4 linked regions of the Coturnix japonica genome follow. The protein of the gene in region 3 interacts with the protein of the main gene of each other region in a biochemical or structural test. Links are inferred from orthologs where the notes say so. Each region holds a gene or a part of one and is shown on either strand. Other genes may lie near its edges.

Evidence for each region.
Region 1: the proteins of DLG3 (region 3) and NET1 interact in a test that uses a peptide from one of them, tested with the Homo sapiens proteins (2 studies listed by IntAct, with this or other methods). The link is inferred for Coturnix japonica from reciprocal best matches to the Homo sapiens genes DLG3 and NET1.
Region 2: the proteins of DLG3 (region 3) and GDA form a complex in vitro, tested with the Homo sapiens proteins (2 studies listed by BioGRID and IntAct, with this or other methods). The link is inferred for Coturnix japonica from reciprocal best matches to the Homo sapiens genes DLG3 and GDA.
Region 4: the proteins of DLG3 (region 3) and FRMPD4 interact in a test that uses a peptide from one of them, tested with the Homo sapiens proteins (2 studies listed by IntAct, with this or other methods). The link is inferred for Coturnix japonica from reciprocal best matches to the Homo sapiens genes DLG3 and FRMPD4.

Annotation. Positions count from the first base shown.
Region 1 is NC_029516.1:1,179,986-1,185,034, forward strand, and holds the start of NET1 (neuroepithelial cell-transforming gene 1 protein), read right to left. Parts: upstream 3,111-5,049; 5' UTR 3,044-3,110; coding exon 2,943-3,043; intron 1-2,942. UniProt on the Homo sapiens protein: Acts as a guanine nucleotide exchange factor (GEF) for RhoA GTPase. May be involved in activation of the SAPK/JNK pathway Stimulates genotoxic stress-induced RHOB activity in breast cancer cells leading to their cell death.
Region 2 is NC_029547.1:32,037,670-32,042,643, reverse strand, and holds the start of GDA (guanine deaminase), read right to left. Parts: upstream 3,111-4,974; 5' UTR 3,014-3,110; coding exon 2,891-3,013; intron 2,740-2,890; exon of another isoform or gene 2,641-2,739; intron 1-2,640. UniProt on the Homo sapiens protein: Catalyzes the hydrolytic deamination of guanine, producing xanthine and ammonia.
Region 3 is NC_029519.1:2,473,585-2,477,883, forward strand, and holds part of DLG3 (disks large homolog 3), read right to left. Parts: intron 3,035-4,299; coding exon 2,916-3,034; intron 2,090-2,915; coding exon 1,946-2,089; intron 1-1,945. UniProt on the Homo sapiens protein: Required for learning most likely through its role in synaptic plasticity following NMDA receptor signaling.
Region 4 is NC_029516.1:111,558,995-111,564,013, forward strand, and holds the start of FRMPD4 (FERM and PDZ domain-containing protein 4), read right to left. Parts: upstream 3,111-5,019; 5' UTR 2,891-3,110; coding exon 2,850-2,890; intron 1-2,849. UniProt on the Homo sapiens protein: Positive regulator of dendritic spine morphogenesis and density. Required for the maintenance of excitatory synaptic transmission. Binds phosphatidylinositol 4,5-bisphosphate.

The DNA of each region.
Region 1 (5,049 bases), on a different chromosome or scaffold from region 3:
AAATGATGTTACTTGTGTTCTGCAGCAAGGTGGCTGGATGAGGAGCTATGAGATAAGGTTTAGTAGCTTAGAGTGATGGTGATAGGAGGATGGTTGGACTAGATGATCCTGTAGGTCCTTTCCAACCTTGTGATTCTATGATTCTCTCCATTTATAGGGTAGCAAAACCACAGCAGACAAGTTAAGAGATGACAGTATGAGAGAATCCATACAGGGAACAGGGCCAGCTTTGGGCTTTTCAGTATAAGGAACATCAGAAACTAGAACACATCCAGCCAATGGTAAAAGGTGCTAGGGCTGAAACACTAAATAAATGAAGAAAAACAGAATGGGCTCCCTCTGTATGGGGAGAGACTGCAAAGATGGCTCTAGCTATCTGAAAAGAAGTAGAGAAAGCAAGAAACCAAATATATTGTATGCACACAGCAGAATGGAAAGAGGCACAGCAAGGAAAAATCCCATTAGATATAAAGAAAAATGCTTTTGCGCAATACATGTGGTCAAACCTTCAAATATAGAGGCAATGAGATTTGTCTTTGGATGATTCTGATCTCACCTGGCCAATGCTCTGAGCAATTTGAGCTAAGTCTGTAGTTTTAAGGGCTGGGACTGGAGACCAACAAGCTCCAGTTTGATCATCAAGACAATATTGCAGCATGTTTCTATGTAAATATGTATTTTAAGGCTCATTGAAACATCCCACCTTATGAAACACTCAACAGTTACAAAAAGCCATTATCAAAACCAACATTGTAACACCACCATTCACTGCAGTCCTGTCCACAAAGAACCAGAGCAGTGAGGAAAAGATCCAGATCACAGGTCCATAGACCCTGAACCTGTATCTATTTGAACCCAAATCTGCTTTTTACAGCACCTGCAAAGTTGGAGGAGTCATTTCCTGACCCTGAGGGCAATAATAAATACAAACCTGAGCCGATCAAACAGGGTTTGTCCTGATAAAAGTCAACGGGAGTTGAGTCACTCGGGTCAACTAGTGCCAATAAACACATCCATGTATCAGGGGTCAACACAGATAAGATCATCCACGGGTTAACTTAAGACATAACGTCTTGTTTCACAGGGCTGTCTCAAGAAAGGTCTCACAAGTCCAAGCACATCAAAATAATAGATGGTATACAGAGGGATTTAAAAACGAGAGTAAAAGCCAAGGCTGACACTGGATCTCTTCCATACTTAACAGAGTTGATCTAGTGTTATGACTGGAGGAGATCCTGGAAGCTTGGCTGAGCTGGTGATGGCAGAGGGAGATTAAGCCCAGCCCAATTCAACCCACAGAGCAGCCCCAAACTCTATTTAACCACACATTACACCCAGCCAGAACCTTGTAGAATACAGAACCTAAAATGGGTGACAAAGAGGTACAGGGAAACAGTGTGAAAAGAGAAATCAATCCCCACATTGCACCAACAACCACCCTGAGGAGCAAAGACCCTCTATTTCTTCTCCGAGCCAAATAGGGACTGCAAGCATCTCACACTTGCACAGAAACCAGTTGGAGACCTGAAATGGGACCAAATATCCCTATTACGGGACAGAAACAGGCAGGAAAACATGTGATAGCCTGAGAAACACCCCCCTCCCATACACATAGCATACAATATAACACTGGGGCACCCTATGAGCATTAAAGACACTCAGGAACCACAGACACATCCACCTTATAAAGCAGGGAAGCATAGAGCAACGCACCCACTTTATATGGTGTGAGGGGTCCCGTAAAGCCATTAGACACAAGGGAGCTGCCCCCGTCAGACACAAGGGAGCTGCCCCCCATTAGACACAAGGGAGCTGCCCCCCATTAGACACAAGGGAGCTGCCCCCCAGTCGACACAAGGGAGCTGCCCCCCAGTCGACACAAGGGAGCTGCCCCCCAGTCGACACAAGGGAGCTGCCCCCGTCAGACACAAGGGAGCTGCCCCCGTCAGACACAAGGGAGCTGCCCCCGTCAGACACAAGGGAGCTGCCCCCCGTCAGACACAAGGGAGCTGCCCCCCGTCAGACACGAAGGAAGCTGCCGCCCCGTTCAGACACAAGGCGAGCTGCCGCCCCGTCAGACACCAAGGGAGCTTGCCCCCCGGTCAGGACAAAGGAGCTGCCCCCCGTCAGACAGCGAAGGGAGCTGGCCCCCCGTCAGGACACAAGGGAGCTGCCGCCCCGTCCAGACACAGAGGAGCTGCCCCCCGTCAGACCACAAGGGAGCTGCCCCCCGTCAGACACAAGGGAGCTGCCCGAGGCGCCCCGTCAGGACACAAGGGAGCTGCCCCCCGGTCAGACACAAGGGGAGCTGCCCCCCGAGGAAGCTTGCCCCCCGTCGCAGACACAGGAGCTATGCCCCCCCGTCAGACACAAGGGAGCTGCCCCCCGTCAGACACAAGGGAGCTGCCCCCATCAGACACAAGGGAGCTGCCCCCATCAGACACAAGGGAGCTGCCCCCATCAGACACAAGGGAGCTGCCCCCATCAGACACAAGGGAGCTGCCCCCCGTCAGACACAAGGGAGCTGCCCCCCGTCAGACACAAGGGAGCTGCCCCCATTAGACACAAGGGAGCTGCCCCCATTAGACACAAGGGAGCTGCCCCCCTTAGACACAAGGGAGCTCCCCCCCCATTAGACACAAGGGAGCTCCCCCCATTAGACTCAAGGGAACTGCCCCATTAGACAGAAGGGAACTCCCCCCATTAGACACAAGGGAGCTCCCCCCATTAGACACAAGGGAGCTCCCCCCATTAGACACAAGGGTGAAGGGCCCCTTTAAGGATGTTTAAAGCACCATAAAGGCTGAGGAAAAAAGGGGAAACGTCCCCTTTATATGCCAGGAAGACGGGAATAGATCCCCTCCTCACTATATACACACATAAAGGGAGAACCACAGGCCTCAGCCCCTGACAGAAAGACGGGGAGACACGGCGGCTCCTACCGGCTGCTGTCCGCCGGGGGCGAGCGGCTGGCGCTTGTTCCAGCACTAACCCTCCCTCTTTTCCGCCGAGGGGGCTTCTGAGCCACGGGCTCGGCTTCCATGGTGAAGAATCAGGCTGAGGAACGGGGGGGGAAACCGGACGGCACCGCACAAAATGGCGGCGGCGAAAAACAACTGAGGCGGCGAACCGGCGGTTTGAAAATGGCGGCGGTGAGGGGAGGCAGCCAATCAGAGAGGAGGGTGGGGTGAGTTGCTAGGAGACGAGCGAGGGGGGGAGGAGTGTCGCCGCCGTTGACCACAGCGCCCCCTTGTGTCCTGCTGCTGTAACTGCAGGCTTGGAGGACCTAGGAATGGGGGAAACTGAGGCACGGAAGCCATTTTTCCTCCAACCCCTTCATCTTCCTCAATTCTCATCTTTTCTCCTCAGAAAACTCATATCCAACACCTCAAGGCCTCGAGGAGGGTAGCAATGTCAACCCCAACGCCTCACGGCCTCGAGGAGGGTAGCAATGTCAACCCCCAAAGCCTGAAATCACCTGATGAATAGAGGAAAAACACGTGTCCCTCTTGAAGCTTGAAAATGCACCTCTAAGAAGTGGGCTGGAATATTAAAAATACGCCTCAGAAATAGGCTTGTGTGTTAAAAATATACCCCAGACTGCCTCAAAATGGACACAGAAGTGGTTTAAATGTGGGATGTACCCCAGCAAGAGTGAGATCTGCGGCCTTATGGTGAAGCCTGCAGTGTCCCAGCGTGAAGCTGATGTGTAAACTGTTTTAAATGGGGTCTTAAATTGTGATGGTGATGGAAAAAAGCAGATGTCTTGGCTACAAACCCCCATAGATTCTGCCTTGGGAAAGCTATTATGCACCTGTGAGCTCCCACCAGCCCCAATTCAACTTAAGTGGTGTTTTGAGCAAGGTGCTTGAATGGGAAAGTGTGTCCTCCTTGGGTGAAATCTCATTTTTTCCTCCATTTTCAGCCCTTTCCCTCTGTGAAAAGTGGCTGTTAATAGGGAGGAAGAGTCTGTCCTGGAGTAGCAACCCCAAAGGGTCCCCGAAGAGACAGAGAGGTAATGGTTTATCTTCACTTAAAAACTGGAATGATCTCCTTTGGAATGCCTTTGGACCAGAAAATTTTGGCCAAGAAATCTCCCTTTAACAATGCTGGCACCCCAGAATACTGTGCTGGAACCACCTTTTGCAGTTTATCATCTTTATTCCAGGTGCAGGTTGGTCTCAACTTCTGTGCAGCTGTTAGACAAAATGCTTTGAAACCCATTAAAAACCCCACATACGTGCCAGGTATTGGCTGTTTTTTAGTCAGGAATCAGAAATGGATTCTTCAGGAGTACTAAAATACAAACCCAAACTTTTGAAGTGGGATCTGCAACTTGATTCAGAAGTCGATACCCCGACTTTAAGCTGAACAGAGCAGCCTGCCAAAGGGTTAAACATAACCATATGCAAAGCAAAGGTTTGAAGACTTTAGAAAGAAACCGTACTTCTATTTTGAAATATACCAGTGGGAAGGGAGGAAGAGTGAGCACATGCAATGCACCAGGAGATGCATTAGAGTATGCCAGAGCAGTCAGACTTAGCACTGATATACCATGCCAAAGCGAAAGGAATTAGTGGTGCTTATTCTATTCTAGTACAGATTTAACATAACAAAACTGTGAAGTTTCTTTAGTTGTCCAAGCCTAAACAGCTTAGCAAATTTTCTTGCCTCCCCCTCAGTATTTCTTCTACACTGACTTATAATCACTGGTAAGCATTCAGCTGCACCAGACCAACTCTTTCATTTCTTCCCAGTCCTCCAAAGCTCTGTCTCCTACCCCAGGGACCTTTTTCTCCTCTGCTGAGTCCTTGTTTCTAGGTTGGAAAATCTCCCTGTCTTTCAGAACCTCCTGATTTTTGCATTCTGCTGTGGCCTCAGCCACATCCATCCCCCCCCAGCGCAGTAGGCAGCAAGCCATGGACTTGTCAAATGATTTTTCCATCTGGTTGGAGAACTTGGAACAGACATTTGTGATCTGAAAGGTACTCGGGGCATTATTCTTCTGCTAAAACTATAGGTGTCGAGGTCATGAGTGCAAGGCATATC
Region 2 (4,974 bases), on a different chromosome or scaffold from region 3:
TACCAGCTGCCAACAGCGGCTAATCAACTATTATGTGCCATCCATGTGATACATCTAAAGGATCAGAAGATGATGAGCTGAGTGGTCATCATCAGCCCCTTTTCTTAATCTCAGGAGATGTCCAAAGCCTCAGACAACATGAGCACATAGATGGCCCAGTTAATTATATATTAACCCTGATACAGTAAACCCTGAGTGCCACCAAGCACTATAGTGTGAGTAGGAAGATAGAACGTGAGTTAGATTGCCCTATGAAACATGCTTTTTTTTTCTATTTTTTATTTTTATTTTTTTTTATCTTTTCCTCCCTCTAGATCCAGCAGCAGTATCTGTATTTGTTTCAATTATGACATTGAGTTGAACATGAGCAACAAGTCCTTTCTTCTCTCCCTCCCACATCCTTCACATCTCACTCTGTGCCCACAGTGGTCAGCTGCTGGCACTAACACAGCTGTTTCCTGCCTCCTACCATTACGCTGTCCCATTCTTGGCCTCACTGAGCTGCTGTCAGCACTGTTTAATGAGGCTACCATCTTCAACAGTTTGATCATTACAGATATGATGTCTATTGCTTATTTAATTCTCAAAACTGAAATACAGGGTTAGATGAGAGACAGCATTGCTTATCAAACTACACTGCTCAAAAACTCAACAGCCCAAACTGCTGAGAAGGATGAATCAATGAACCCCACATATCAGTTTTTGACTTGATACCTTCCTCCCCTGTCAGCTAACACACGACACCTGCTATCACAGCTGGTATAAGTCAAATTGTCATTACTTGACAATATCAACACTTACTCCATGACATTTTCTCCTAGTCATTCAAAGGAAGCTTTTATCTTGATACTTGTTCTACTTTCTTAATATTTTACTCAGCTATATTATTCACACCAGCATTTCAACAACAACCCAGTCTGCAGCTGGCTTTATTTTCCTTACCTTGACAAATGTTACCCTTTCTATTGGCAACTCCTCAAGAGCATTGTGCTGCTCTGCAAACCACTCTAAACATAGACTTACTTTGTTAACTTACGATAATTTGGGTGTGCATTCCTGAAGGCAGTGCTTTCTTTATTAAAGCTCCCTTTTCATCTGAAGGCAAAGCAAAGAGAGCTGACACCCCATCTGTGGCTCTACAGCTGTGTTTCAGCATGCAGCACGGGACCAGGCAGCACTCTGTGTCCTGGCTGTGCACTCCTGCGGCTGTGAGAACAGCACCTGGCTAACCACAAAAGCCGTTCAGCTCTCCTGAGATCAACTTTGCATGATGGAATCAGCAACGTGAGGCAAAAGTTAAGCTTATTTAAACCTAGTTAAGCTTAATTCTTTGGAAGCAATAGCAAAATTGTATTGGTGTATATCTTGACAATAGAGGTAAAAATCTTTGAACTACCATGTCCTTCTCATAGAAGCACATATTCAGTGATTACAGGGGAAGTTCTCCATGTAGCAAAATTATGATAACAGGCTAAATGGTAACAAACCGCACTGTGCTAGACCCTGGAATTGTAAAATGTCACGAATTCCCAAACAGAAAAGATTATGAAAGTCCTTATCAATCTATTCTGGTTAAAGTTTTCCTTTTGGACAATAGTGTTTTACCAGATTTTTTTCTTAAACAGCGTGGAAATGCATCAACTTATGCATGGCAAACACATCCAGTGCATCCTTGTTCACCAAGAGAAGGGGGAGAGATAAACAGAATCATAGAATCACAGAACTGTAGGAGCTGGAAGGGAACTCCAGAGATCATTGAGTCCAGACCCCCCTGCAAAGCAGCCTCCTACAGCAAGCCACACAGGTAGATACCCAGGTGGGTCTTGAATACCTCCAGAGGAGGAGAGCAACTCTCCTGAGGCAGAAATCAATAGATAGAGCATGGTACAGATACAGTGTGTGTTTTTCAAGAAAATCCTTGGAAAGCAATAATTTGCTTAGAACACAACATAGTGACATTTACCAAGAATTAGCACTAAGAGAGGAAGATGAGAGACAGAAGTTTCCACTTCCTGCACCCAAGGTACACAAACCAAAACGTTTATTCATTCGGCTCTATTGCTTTTAGTTGACATCTCTCAATACATAACTTTCTATCTTTTTATTCACCTCCTATCCAGCTTTTCAGGGACTCTGCTATACACTGTGCCAGACTCAGAATAGCTGTAGGAGAACTGACTTGAAGGAGATCTTCATGGACCTGTGTGGATGGTGAAGGATGGTGAACTGCAGGAACTAACTGTGTATTTTCAATGTATTTCAAACATTACCAAAGCCTGATGCAATTGTACAGTCATCAGAAGAAAAGAAAATGACTTTTCTCCTTATACCTACGGTTGCTACATGCATTGCTAAGTCTAGGCGAAATTGCTGCTCTGCCTACGCACCGTGAAGCTGAGTCTCAACCAGTGACATGGCTGAGCTTCCTGCCAGGACCGGCCCTGCGCTATCAGTTTTACATTCGTTTTAGATTCAGTTTGTGCCATTAACGTGCCCAGCGGTACCGTTCTCCAAACTTTTTAAGGGCACATTCCATGCTTTTTCTTGTAACAAGAAGAAAAAGACCACTCTGTACAGGGGGGACTCGGCAACTATCCACACCCATTCTTACTGTTCTGACACGGAGAATGACAAATTCACCTGTAAGACAGAAGGAAAACGGAGACCAGCCGAGCACAGCCGCGCTCCAGGTGCTCTGGGAACATACGTCGCCCCACAGCAGGCTGGAGCTCCCCGCGGACACGCTGCTCCGTCCTCTCCGGCTGCCCCCAGACTCCGATCTCTTCCCCGAGGTCCCACCCCACCCGCTTCGATCGGACAGGTCCCCGTTTCCTGACCGCCTCCGTACGGCGTAGGTTCCCGCATCGCCCCGCGGCCCCGCGCCTCTCACCGTGCCGCCGTCGTCAACCCCCAGCAGGCGGCCGTGCAGGATCTCCATGGGCGCGTCGGGCCGGGAGTGCACGAAGGTGCCCCTGAAGACATGGGCGAGCGGAGGGCGCTGCGGGGAGCCCATAGCGGGGACGGCTGCGCTGGTAGGAGTGCTGCTGCGGCCAGCTGCTTCCCGCTGTCTGCCGCTGCCGAGCGTGGCTTCCTGGAGCTGTCACCATCTCCCCACCCCCTGGTGACTTGCCCCGCGGGGTGGGGTTTCGGCGGCCCCCGCCCCGCTCCGAGCCTGGGTCCGACCGTGCCGCTTGGTCGTGGAGTGCGGGGGAGGCTGAGGTCGCTTCCCGAAGTTTCGTCGGCAGCGTCTCCCGGTCCAGCTGGCACCTGTTGCACTGAGCCCGGGTCGCTGGCAAATCTGTTGGACGTTTTCGAAGGAACTGACCCGATTTTAAGCATGGCAATCATTAGATATGTATCTTTAGTATCACTTCATGGCGCTTACCACTTCATTCTGTACCCAGTTATCAGCGATAAATCTCACTGACTGTATCTCCTGTCCTTAGATCCTGCGCTGCTTGTTGGTAGCAGGAAATAGTTGCCAGTCCAGGTGCCTGAGCTGCCAAGCAGCAGCCAGATGCCTTGTTCAATCAATGGAGGTGGCCTTCAGTGTGTGTGAAAAAGGCTACAGAGAAGCAAAAAGTAGAGGTGAATCGATGCTGTGAACCCAGAGAACTACACTTTCAGGACCACAACCTAAGTTGAAAAACAATACAAATATATGTTTATGTTTATGTCAAACTAAAAGAGGGGAGATTTTAAACTGATTATAAAGAAAATGTTTTTCAGAACAAGGATGGTGAAGCACTGGAACATCCTGCTCAGAGGTGTGGTGGCTGCCCTGTCTCTGGAGATTGAAGGTCAGGCTGGACAAGGCTCTTAGGGACCTGACTGAGTTGTAGGTGTCCCTGTTTGTTGCAGGGCAGTTGGACTAGATGGCCTTTAAGGATCCATTTCCCTCCCTCAGTGCTATGATCCTATGATGCTATATGCTATGAGCACCACTAGTGAAAATACTAGGATAAGGCTTCATGGTGCCACAGTGTTGCAAGCATAGTTAAGGCCATGAGCATTCTCTGAACTCCTGTCAGAAGTCACCCTGCACAATCAGGCAGCCAGGTAATGAATGAACTTGGCACCCGGGTGCTGGCACTATTCGTGTCAAAGCTGCAATGCAAAGTTTGCCATTAAGGACCTTTACCCTTCCCTCTGTGCTGACAGTGTACAAACTCACAGCAGAGGTTATCTTTTCTGCAAGCTCTCCAGATCAATGGTGGAAAGAGAAAAAGGGAAAAGCACAAGATTAATTTAATTTTGGTCTGCTATGGGCATATCATCAGCATTTATCTTGTCTTCTTTTGAGCAAGAATCTTTTAGGTTACCAATAAGCAAGTTTAAAACCACGTGAGTGTACTGAAGCCAGATAAAAACCCTCCTTGACTTTACTGTCAGCAAGCCATAAGGACTGTCCTAAATGAAATGGACTTACATTCTGACATTGTTAACATCTTGTGTGAGGTCTTGCCTTTAAAGAAGATGCCAGAGAGAGAAAATGGCTTTTTAAGACTAGGCAGCTTTTCATTGTATTTCTAAGCTCTTTGACCAGATAGGCTTGCAAAACAAAACAAAACTAGTTAGTGTAGTTTTCGAAGGAAATTGGAGTGATAATCTTTCATGCAATTCTGTTTGCTTTCAAGACTATAGTACTTCATTTTTCCTTCAGCAGTGGAGTAATACATGGAAAAGAAAAAGGAAAGAGAAGAAACATAAGAACTCCTTTAAATTAGAACATGAAAATCCCTCTTGCAATGATGTTTCTCAGGGTGATACTCCTGGGTTTGTTAAGGCTGCAGCTCAACCCATCTGTGTTCCAAGCTGAGCCCCCAAGAGGAAAAAATTGCCTTTTGTTTTATGAAGGACAATAAGTGAACAGTACACTGTTCTTGTCACTGAGAGCCAAAAGGTAAAAGGAGAAAAGCTGAGCAATGGGATAAACAGAGACTGAGCCCTGCAGAGGTGAGCTTGCTGCTCCTC
Region 3 (4,299 bases):
TGCCTTGGTGCCCAAGTGCCCTATTATCGTTGACTATAATCTATTATAAAAGCTTTCTCAGTTCTGAGTGCCATTTGCAACTCAAGTGCTTTAGAAATACAGCACCAAAAGCCAGGAACAAGAAGCCACCAAGGAGCTGGGCAGGAGTTGGGTGTGGAGGGTCATCCAGCCCCATGACATCCTGCACATGGAGGTGCAAGACAAAACAGGTCTTCAGCAATGATCACGATGTTCAGATGAGGACAACTGGTGGATAGGGTTCACCTCCATGGCCAACCTGCCATGTCCCAGCTTGGAGAGAAGCAGCTCCAAGCCTGCAGCTTCCAGCACTGATTGTTCCCATGGTCCAGGAGAGCTGCCCCGTGGACAGAAGAGCCCCAAGCATGGCCAACCACTGCACATCATCATCCCAAAGGTCTTTCCTCCAGACCCCTGCTCTGCACCCTTTCAGGTTGGGAGGGAATAGCTGTGGGTATACTGATCTGGCTGAAAGGTGCCCATCACCCTGACCTGACCCCATACAAGGAGAAGGCTAAAAAGAAAAGGAACGCTTCAGAAAAGAATGACAGGAATGATTTCAGGGCTGGAACAACACCGAGTGAGTGAGGAAGCCAATCTGTTTAGTTTAGCTAAGGGAAAGTTAAAAGGGAACTCAGACGCATCTATAAATACCATCATGTTGGGAACTGTTCTGATGGCTGCGGCCCTTTATCCTGGCAAACAAAGGCAGCAAAACCTCCTGGGGCTGGGAGCTAAAGCAAGAGGAATCCAGGCTATCAGTAAAGTGCACGTTTTTAATGGAAAGGATAAATAACCATCAGGAGAGCCGGACTATCACAGAGCAGATTCCCCACCGTGTGAAACCTCAAAGTAGAGGGGAGGTGTCTGCATCTCAGCCAGGTGTGTGGGGCTGAATGCTGTGCTTGTAGGTTCTTGCCCCTGAGAGCCCCACATCCACGAGTGCAGCCCAGGGATGCCAGAGTGGAACACAAGGGGGAAGGGCTCCATCCAAAATCCCAGTGGATGAAGTAATAAAAGCAGGTGGATTCCCAGCACACACAAAGTTTTCACTGCTGAAATGACCACCACCAGGGCTGGGCTGATTGCAAACTGCACCTCTTGTCTCCATTTAACCACAGTCCCCCCCCTGTTCCATGGTAAGGATTTGGTGAGTGTTTGAAGACGCAGAGAGAGCAGGGAGAGGAAAAGGAGAAATTCAACAGTAAGGAAAAAAATGGGGCATCACCCATTTTATTGGAGTCTAAAGCGAGAAGGGAAACACTTAAAATGGGGAGAAAAGCAGCAGCGTGATCTTCACGTTTAAAATACTTTGGAAGAAGAATCCAACCTAGCAAACGAGGACTGATTAAAGCTGTGCCAAGGAAAACAAAGCCTTCATGTTATTTTACGTCTGGTGAGCTCCATCCATCACAGCCACTCCATCCCTCCCTAAAGGCTCAGAGTGTGTTTTGCCCTTCACTCGTCCCTACAACCAACATCAGGTACGGAGCCCACGCGATGCGCTCACACCAGGAGGGAGCTGAGATTTACGACCCACATCCAGATAGATGGCAAACAGCAGAGAAAAGCTCCTGGTATGCTGAGGAATGGACCTGCCATTGAGGAGCTCGGAGAGAGAAAAAGGTGGAAATCTGCGAGGTGGGAGTGAGATGGAGATATGGGGCTGGGAGGATTTCCATCCTGTACCACATCCATCTGCCCTCCCAATGCTGACGCTGGACCACATGAGTGCTAACGCACAGGGGATGCTGTTGGTGTTACTGCCACGTTTCCCAGCCTGAGCATCACCAACGGGAAGAGCCCGAGGAAACACCAGCCCCAGGCACTTCCCCAGCACCATCCCACAGTGCTACGGGCACGCAGCCCCGGTGCTGTCCACGCGGTGGCAGCCGGCGGCCGGGTGGGACGCGGTGCGGGGGCTCACCTGCGGCAGGGCACTGCGGGAGCCCAGCACCAGGCTGCAGATGCTGGTTGGTACCTCCGTCCGCCGTGCTGTCACCCTCACCAGCCTTGGGGGCGTTGCCGGCGTCACCGCGAGCAGCCTTTGCTCATCATCCTGGGCTGGTGGCTGCAATGAGACCCAGGACACAGAAGTGGGTAGGGAGAGCTGCGAGCCCCTGGGATGCCATTCAGGACAGGGGGATCCCACTGCTGGCCTGGGAACAGGTGATCTTTTAGGTCCCTTCCAACTCAACCCGTTCCATTCTATGTTCCAGCAATATGAGATGTCTCCACGCATCTCTTTAGAGAAAGGAGTGGTGTGATGGTGTCTGCGTGCTCGGGCAGGTGGACCCCACTGCTGAAAATGAGTCTCTTGCAGCCCCAGAAAACTAAATAGGATCCCGGTGCCTGTTGCTTCAGAAACAGGTTGTAAGCCCACTTGAAAACGGATCCATTGCCATAGACCAGATCGAGAGCTGTGAGGTAAGGACTGGAGCAGCCCTGGAAAGTCAAAACTGCCCCCACTCCATCAAGGCAATTCAATTAGCTTTTGTGCCTAGGAGATAACTCAGATCCTACTGTTCAGTCACTGCCTCTCTGTCTGGTGCTGTATCTCTTAAAAGACTGTTGGAAATTAAAGAGAATGCAAATAAGAGACGTGGAAGTTATCAGAGAGCTGGAAAAAATCCTGAGAAAGGAAACTTGAAAGGCCCAACTCCAGTTATCAAAAGCAGCTTGTGAGGTGGCTCGATCAGAGTCCCAGTACATCCACAGCAGAAAGCAGAGCTAGAGCTGAACTCATTTGCATTAGGAATAATTCAATTAGCGCTCATGAATGAGAGACGTTTCCTAATTATCGAGGGAATCTCTGACAGAGGAGGTGTGGAAACACACTGCTGGCATGGCAGCTGGTGCCAACCTGTCCCCACTGCAGGAAACGGAGCGGCTCTTACCTCGGGGGGGCTGTGGGTCTCTCTGGGGCTGCGGTGCCTGGCTGGGCTACGATGCACTGCTGGGCTGGAAGGCTGCAGGGAAGCCGAGCGCAGCGTGAAGTCATAGAATTCATGGATATCTACAAAACAGCACCAGAAACATCATCAGGAGTGGGCAGGGAGTGTAGTGCCAATGTCCTGCATCGGGTGCAGGGTCTGCAGGTCCCTCCTCCCAGCCCTGCCAGGAGCATTTTCTCCTCTCCATCCCACCCACGGGGCACTACAGGAAGCAGTGGGGCTGCTGCACTTCCTAATGGAAACACGCAGCAACCCCAGCCCAGTGCTGCAGGAGCAACAAATCTCACATCACCACATTTCAGTGTTCAGTTTCATAAGGGGAGCTACAGAAAAAGCAAGGAGCTCTTCAGAAAGAAACTGGAAGGGGTGACAAAGAGGGTGGGAAGCAGCAAAGCCTATTTAGAGGCTCCGCATCATGACATCAGAGCACACATGCAGCGTTGGCTTGTGGATGGTACACAGCAAAAAGGAGAAAAGCACTGCGGGAAAGGGGGCTTTGGAAGGGAGAAGGCATGCCCCTAAATAGCTGAAACAGTGTCCAAATGAGAAAACCAGATAGGATGGTAAACGCTGCCAGGTTAAATGTACCACTCCAAGAGGTTGGCTGAGGGGGTTTGGTGAACGCCTTGCATGCAGCATGGCAAAGTCATAAATCCTGACAGCACACAGAAGACTGGAAGCAGTCAGGGCTGCGGGGCCAGAAAGGGGCTGGGCGGAAAGAAGCACTCAGAAGGAGGAAAACCACAGCAGGGAAAACAAATTCATTTTCTGTGTGCGCTGCAGAGGAGCCTGGGGAGCCCCAGGTTACTGGGCATTGTGGGGATGGGTTGGAGTAGGTGAGCTTTGTGGTCTTTTCCAACCTTACTGGTTCTGTGATACTGTGATTCTGCAGCAACCCCCAAAGGGAACCAAAGGCTTCAGGAGGGTTTGTCAAACTACATCTTTAGCAGATTTTCCAGAACCTGGTGCTTAGCAAAGGGTGCCCTGCAGGAAACCCAAAGGCCATGGGAAGAGAAGGGAGGGATGCACCAGCCCCAGGTGCACCTCTGGTGGCAAAAGCTGCTCCTGAAGCCATCACTGATCAGCCCTGAGGTCATGGCCAGTGTTTGGCTCACAGCCGGACAGACAGACTTTGTTTTTGTGCAAAAACATCTCTCCTTCTGCTTATGAAAATAGTCGTTGCGTAACAGGATACCAGGGGCTCCTGGCTGCGTGGATTAGGCTTGGAATGCACAGGAGTTCCCAAAAATGAACACAGGATTTGGATGGTTTTGTCGCAGTGGAACACTACTGCTGGTGTCCCTGTCTGAGGCAGGAATGTCACCAT
Region 4 (5,019 bases), on a different chromosome or scaffold from region 3:
TGTGCACTTTATCTATCCTACTAATCCTCCTTTCTGAATTACAGATGCTACCGCACCGGACATACTTATGTAGCCCACACTACAAAAACATTCACCTGCCTCATCCAGCTGCACGAGATCCATTAAGACTTGGCAATCATTTTCTATATGTGGACGTTCATTAGAACAGCAGGTTTTTACAACTCTTTCCAGAGAAAGGCCCTACAAGATTTGTACCAAAACAGTTATTACCAAATCAGTGGAGAACTCTGGGCAAGAGTTTTCAAGGCCAAGCTTCCTGTCCACATCAAGGTGGATGGAGCTCAATGACCTCTTCCAACCTAAGCCGTTCTTTAAGTCAAATTTCTGCAAAGGGGAAGGGAAAGAAGGTATGCCAACAAAAGTGCCATCAGTATTTCTAAACAATACTTTTGTTTTCAGTGTCACAATGGACATCTCCAATCTTTACAAATCAATAGAGACTTCACCATGAACATCTTTATTAGATGCATGGTATACAACGTGACAGACCCATAAAGGCAAGGAGATAACAAGGAAAACCCCCTCCTCCTAAAGGCATACACATATAAGCTACTGCCCACTGAAGATTACGCCATGTGTATTACAATTACACTACAGCATTAAGAAGCAACCCCTTGCAGCAGCCATGCGTAACAGACTTGCCTGTGCCACTGCATGCAGAATCAAGGCCACTGGTTTCAACACTAAGAGTTGACTTGCAACCTCAAATGAGAAGATCTGAATGCACAGCAAAACAGAAAGAAGACTGAAAGCCATGAAAACATTCAGTACAAGCCAAGTCTGAAACAACTTTCCATAGGTACTCTGTCTGAAGATCACCCTTTCAGTTAAATACTGTTTGTTGTATGAGAGCTTTCTTCCAGAAAGGCCTTTTCTCCAACAGCTGAGGGAGAGCTGCTGCTTTCAATGCAGACGCACCAAGGGATTACAAATGGGGTTTACATTGAAGTCCACCTGCTCTACAAAGCTCTTGTGAAACTGGAACAGATAACTAGCTGTTACCTAGGAAACTGCAAGTAAAGTAAAGTCCTGTGTAAACTATTAGGTTGTTTAACAACCAGAAAATTAGAAACAAAAAGAGCAGCTTGGTACAGAAATGATTTACTGCGATCCACAAGCAAACTTGATCTGAGTGCTTCATATGCTCAATTCCAATGAAGCTGGACACAAGCTTTGAGACCTGTGGTTTCATTTCAGAAGAACCTTCAGGTCCTTCTGGAGAAATGCCGTGATCTTCCTGTAATTACTTAAACGCAAACCTCAGTGTTGGCAGAGTTCATGCTGTCAGGCGTGCAGCAAGCTACAGCCTTTGTACACCAACAAATACCAAGTACTACCACATGTACAAAAACTGCCAGGTACCTGGCTTAGTAACAGCTCTGAGCAGCATATCCCTTTCTTTCCCTTTGACTTAACTCAAGCATGACAGCTATGAAACATGAAGATCTGTGAGCTTCCCTAAAATAATGCTTGCAAACAAATACGAGAGCTCAAGCAATTCAATTACCTAATAATAAATACCCCACTACATGTCCTGCTCCTTGTCTGTTCTCACGTATTTTTCCTTCCTTCAAGTTTGCACTGTAGTTACAGCTCTGGCTGGGAGCACAAACAGGGAACGTCATGCAGGATACCAGTGTTCCAGCCTGCACCTCATGTCAGATCGCTCAGAGCAGGGCGAGACGATGATGTGCTTGAATGAGAACAGCTGCTCTGCCCTGGCAGGGCCAAGAACAGAGCTGTAATCACAGCCAGGTGCAGCGGAGGGAATTGGGGAATAGCAGCTCTGTTTGTACCTGTGGCATTCGGTGACTTCCAGCCACACAATATTTGTTTTAAGGACCATCCATCACTATGACACTCTCCCACCTGAGCGGCACCGGAGCAAGAGGCAGCCTTGCCTTCCCTCAGCAAGGCCCTTCCTTTTGCGTAACACCCGCTTTCATTCTGTGCCTCTCAAACAGCAAGGGCCGTGGTAACTATGGTGTACCAACACAAAATCATAAGAATTCAGAGCACTCCCGGTTACCGCGATCAAAGCTAAATCCTTTAGGAAGATTATCCACACCAAAACCCTGAAAAAATCCCCACAGCTCGAGCACTTCTATACTGCGTCTCCCAGGTGAAGCGTGGTTTCCCATTACTGAGGAGGGCTACTTCCAATGCCCCTAACTAGAGGGGAATGGGGTATCGGGGCTGCGCTCCTTCACCCGTCTGCGCAGCCTGGGGCCTGGCAACTCGCTGCCAGCGCAACAGTGAACACACAGACCGCAACTCCGAGGCCGCTCAATGAACATCTATCCATTGGAAAGAACACGTATGCTCCCACCGAGCACCGGCACGAAGCACATGCCCTGCGCGCAAGGGATCACTCGCATAACACCACCCCAGCATAACACCGTGCGAAAAAGAGGGGCAGCGCTCATCAGCTGCCGATGATTTCACCGCTTCTCTAAAAATATCGCCGTGGACGAGCCGGCGAGCAGCGCTCAGCGCAGAGTTGTAGCCAGGCGAACTAGGGGGCCACGGCACAACACGGCACGGCACGGCGCGCCCCGTCCCTCCCTGCCCACCCCTCGGCCAGGCGCTGCCCCTTTCCCCCCGGGCTCGCCCCCTGCCCGGCTCCCACCGCCGCACTCCGCGCTGCCAACACTTCTGGCCGCCCCTTCACGGCGGCGCTCCCAGGCGAGGAGGGCGCTGACCCGTCCCGCACGGAGCGGTCCCGGCAGCCGCCCCGCCCGAGCCGCCCCCTCTCCCCGCTGCCAGGGAAGTTGGGCTCCCCTCACCGGCGGTCCCCCGCCCTTCCGAGCCCCGGTACGGACACCTACCCGGAGAGCTTCCCAAGCTTCACAAAGCTAAACACATCCATCCATGCGGCCGGCTGCTCCGCCCGTCGCTCACTCGCTCACTCCAGCAGCAGCGGCGGCGGCAGCTCCATGTCGGCAGAAGGTTGCGTCCAGCGGCGGCAACAGCCCTCACACAGGCAGCAGCCGGCGGCGGCAGAGCCTGCTACCCCCCTCCGGCGGGGAGCTGGGCTTGCAGCATCTCGCAGGAGCGCCGTTCAGCCTCGCGCAGCCCTCCTCCTCCTCCTCCTCCTGCTTCTCCTCCTCCTCCGCCCCCCCCGCTCCCCGCTTGCCCGGCCCCCTCCTCGGGTAACTCTGGGCTGCGTGGCCGGAGGGTCGCCGTCAGCTCGGGCCCCCGCCGCCTCTGTGTCACGGCTCACGAGGAGAACGGCGAGGGGCAAAGGGGGTCCGCAAGGCGGAGGGTGGGGAAGAGGGAGTTTCTCTTCGCGCTGTTCCCGTGGGGGAGCGGAGGGCGCAGGCGGCCGCGGCCCGGGCGAGCGCCGCCCGCTGGCTGCTGCTGGAGGAGGCGTTGAGGGCCGGGCCCCGGGGCCTCGGTGCCAGTCGCCGCGGAACTCAGCGCTCACAGTCCCTTCGCTTCCCTCGGGACCCTTGATAGAGAAAGGACAGAATTACAGAATGACCCGGGTTGGAAGGGACCTCAAGGATCATGTAGTTCCAACCCCCCTGCCTGGCAGGGCCACCAAACATACACATTCACTAGATCAGGTTGCCCAGGGCCCCGTCCAACCTGGTCTTGAACACCTCCAAGGACGGGGCATCCACAAGGACGATCGGACCTGAGGAACAGGATAAGGCTCCCCGGCAGATGAGGGAAAGCACCTGCCAAGAAGGCTGCAGCTGGGAGTGCTCCTCCAAAAGCAGAAACTGTGGAAAGCGGACAGTTCTCTTTGCTCCGGTGAACCTCCCTGAGTGACCGCACCATTCCGTGCTACCCTCCATGATGGGGAAGGGCCCGCTGGACCCCTGTGTTGTGTATTAAGGATGGGCACTGACCGGCAACAGGGCAAACATCCATCTTCCTGGCTGGCACAGTGAGCAGCCTGTGACTGACCTCTGTCTCAAAAGACATCTGGAGTCACAGAATCACAGAACCATAGGAGTTGAAAGGGACTTCTGGAGATCACTTGGTTCAAGTCCTTACTAAAGCAGGTTTCCTACAGCAGGGGATCCTCTTGGTCCTGCCAGAAACACATCCAGGCCAAATCACAGCAGCATAAACAGCCTTCACCTTGTATTTTGTAGGTGAATTGTATGTCCTGATACACGAGCAACGCAGATACGCTGCTTAACATTTTTGCCCTGTATCAGGCTTACAAATAGGCTCTTGAGTTAGTTAGCTTTCTTTGAGTGAGCAGGATAGGAGCATGGTGAAATTCAAACTTATATTTGTGCAGTTCTACAGCATAATGCACAGGAATGCATTTTCTTCCTTTTTCTTTGTGTCTTTGCTAAATAGGCTGATAAGCCCTTTGCTTCCTGCCTGTGCATTATTTCTTCCTTTTGTTGTGGGCCTGTGCCTGTGCTGTCCCTCCACCCCAGACATGAGCAGAGAGCCAAACAAGTAGGCTCTAGCAGCCAGGTGAAAAACAATGCTTTTTTTTTTCTTAATTTTAAAACTTGTATTGCTAGGAGAGCAAAAAGAACAGGCAGTACGAACACTCACTGTGAACCGAGTCTCAAACTATTCTTTAAAACAATAACAAGAGAGGATGATTGATCATCTATTTACACTGAGAGAACATTGAGCCACCAGCTGCCCGACACTCACTGGCCTACCATAGGCCTAAATGGTTTGGGCTTATTAAGAAATGCCTTATGAAGTGTTTCATGTTACTACATGAAAATATTTACATGGTTCACCCATGGAACTATATTTGTTTATTGTTATGACACTTTTTTTTTTTAGAAAGCAAAGTCCCTGTGCCTGTCATTCACATTGCTGTGTTGACTGGTAAAAGTTATGAGGGTAACAGAGTCTCATCTGGTTAGAAACTGGTTTATTTATAAAAACTGTCATTTATTTAGAGACTGAGGAGACAGGCCAAGATCTTACAAAGCTAACTGTAGCTTATATACCATATATAAAATTAAGCACATATGTCCTGAATCAAACAAGACCCCAGTCCTGAGTAGC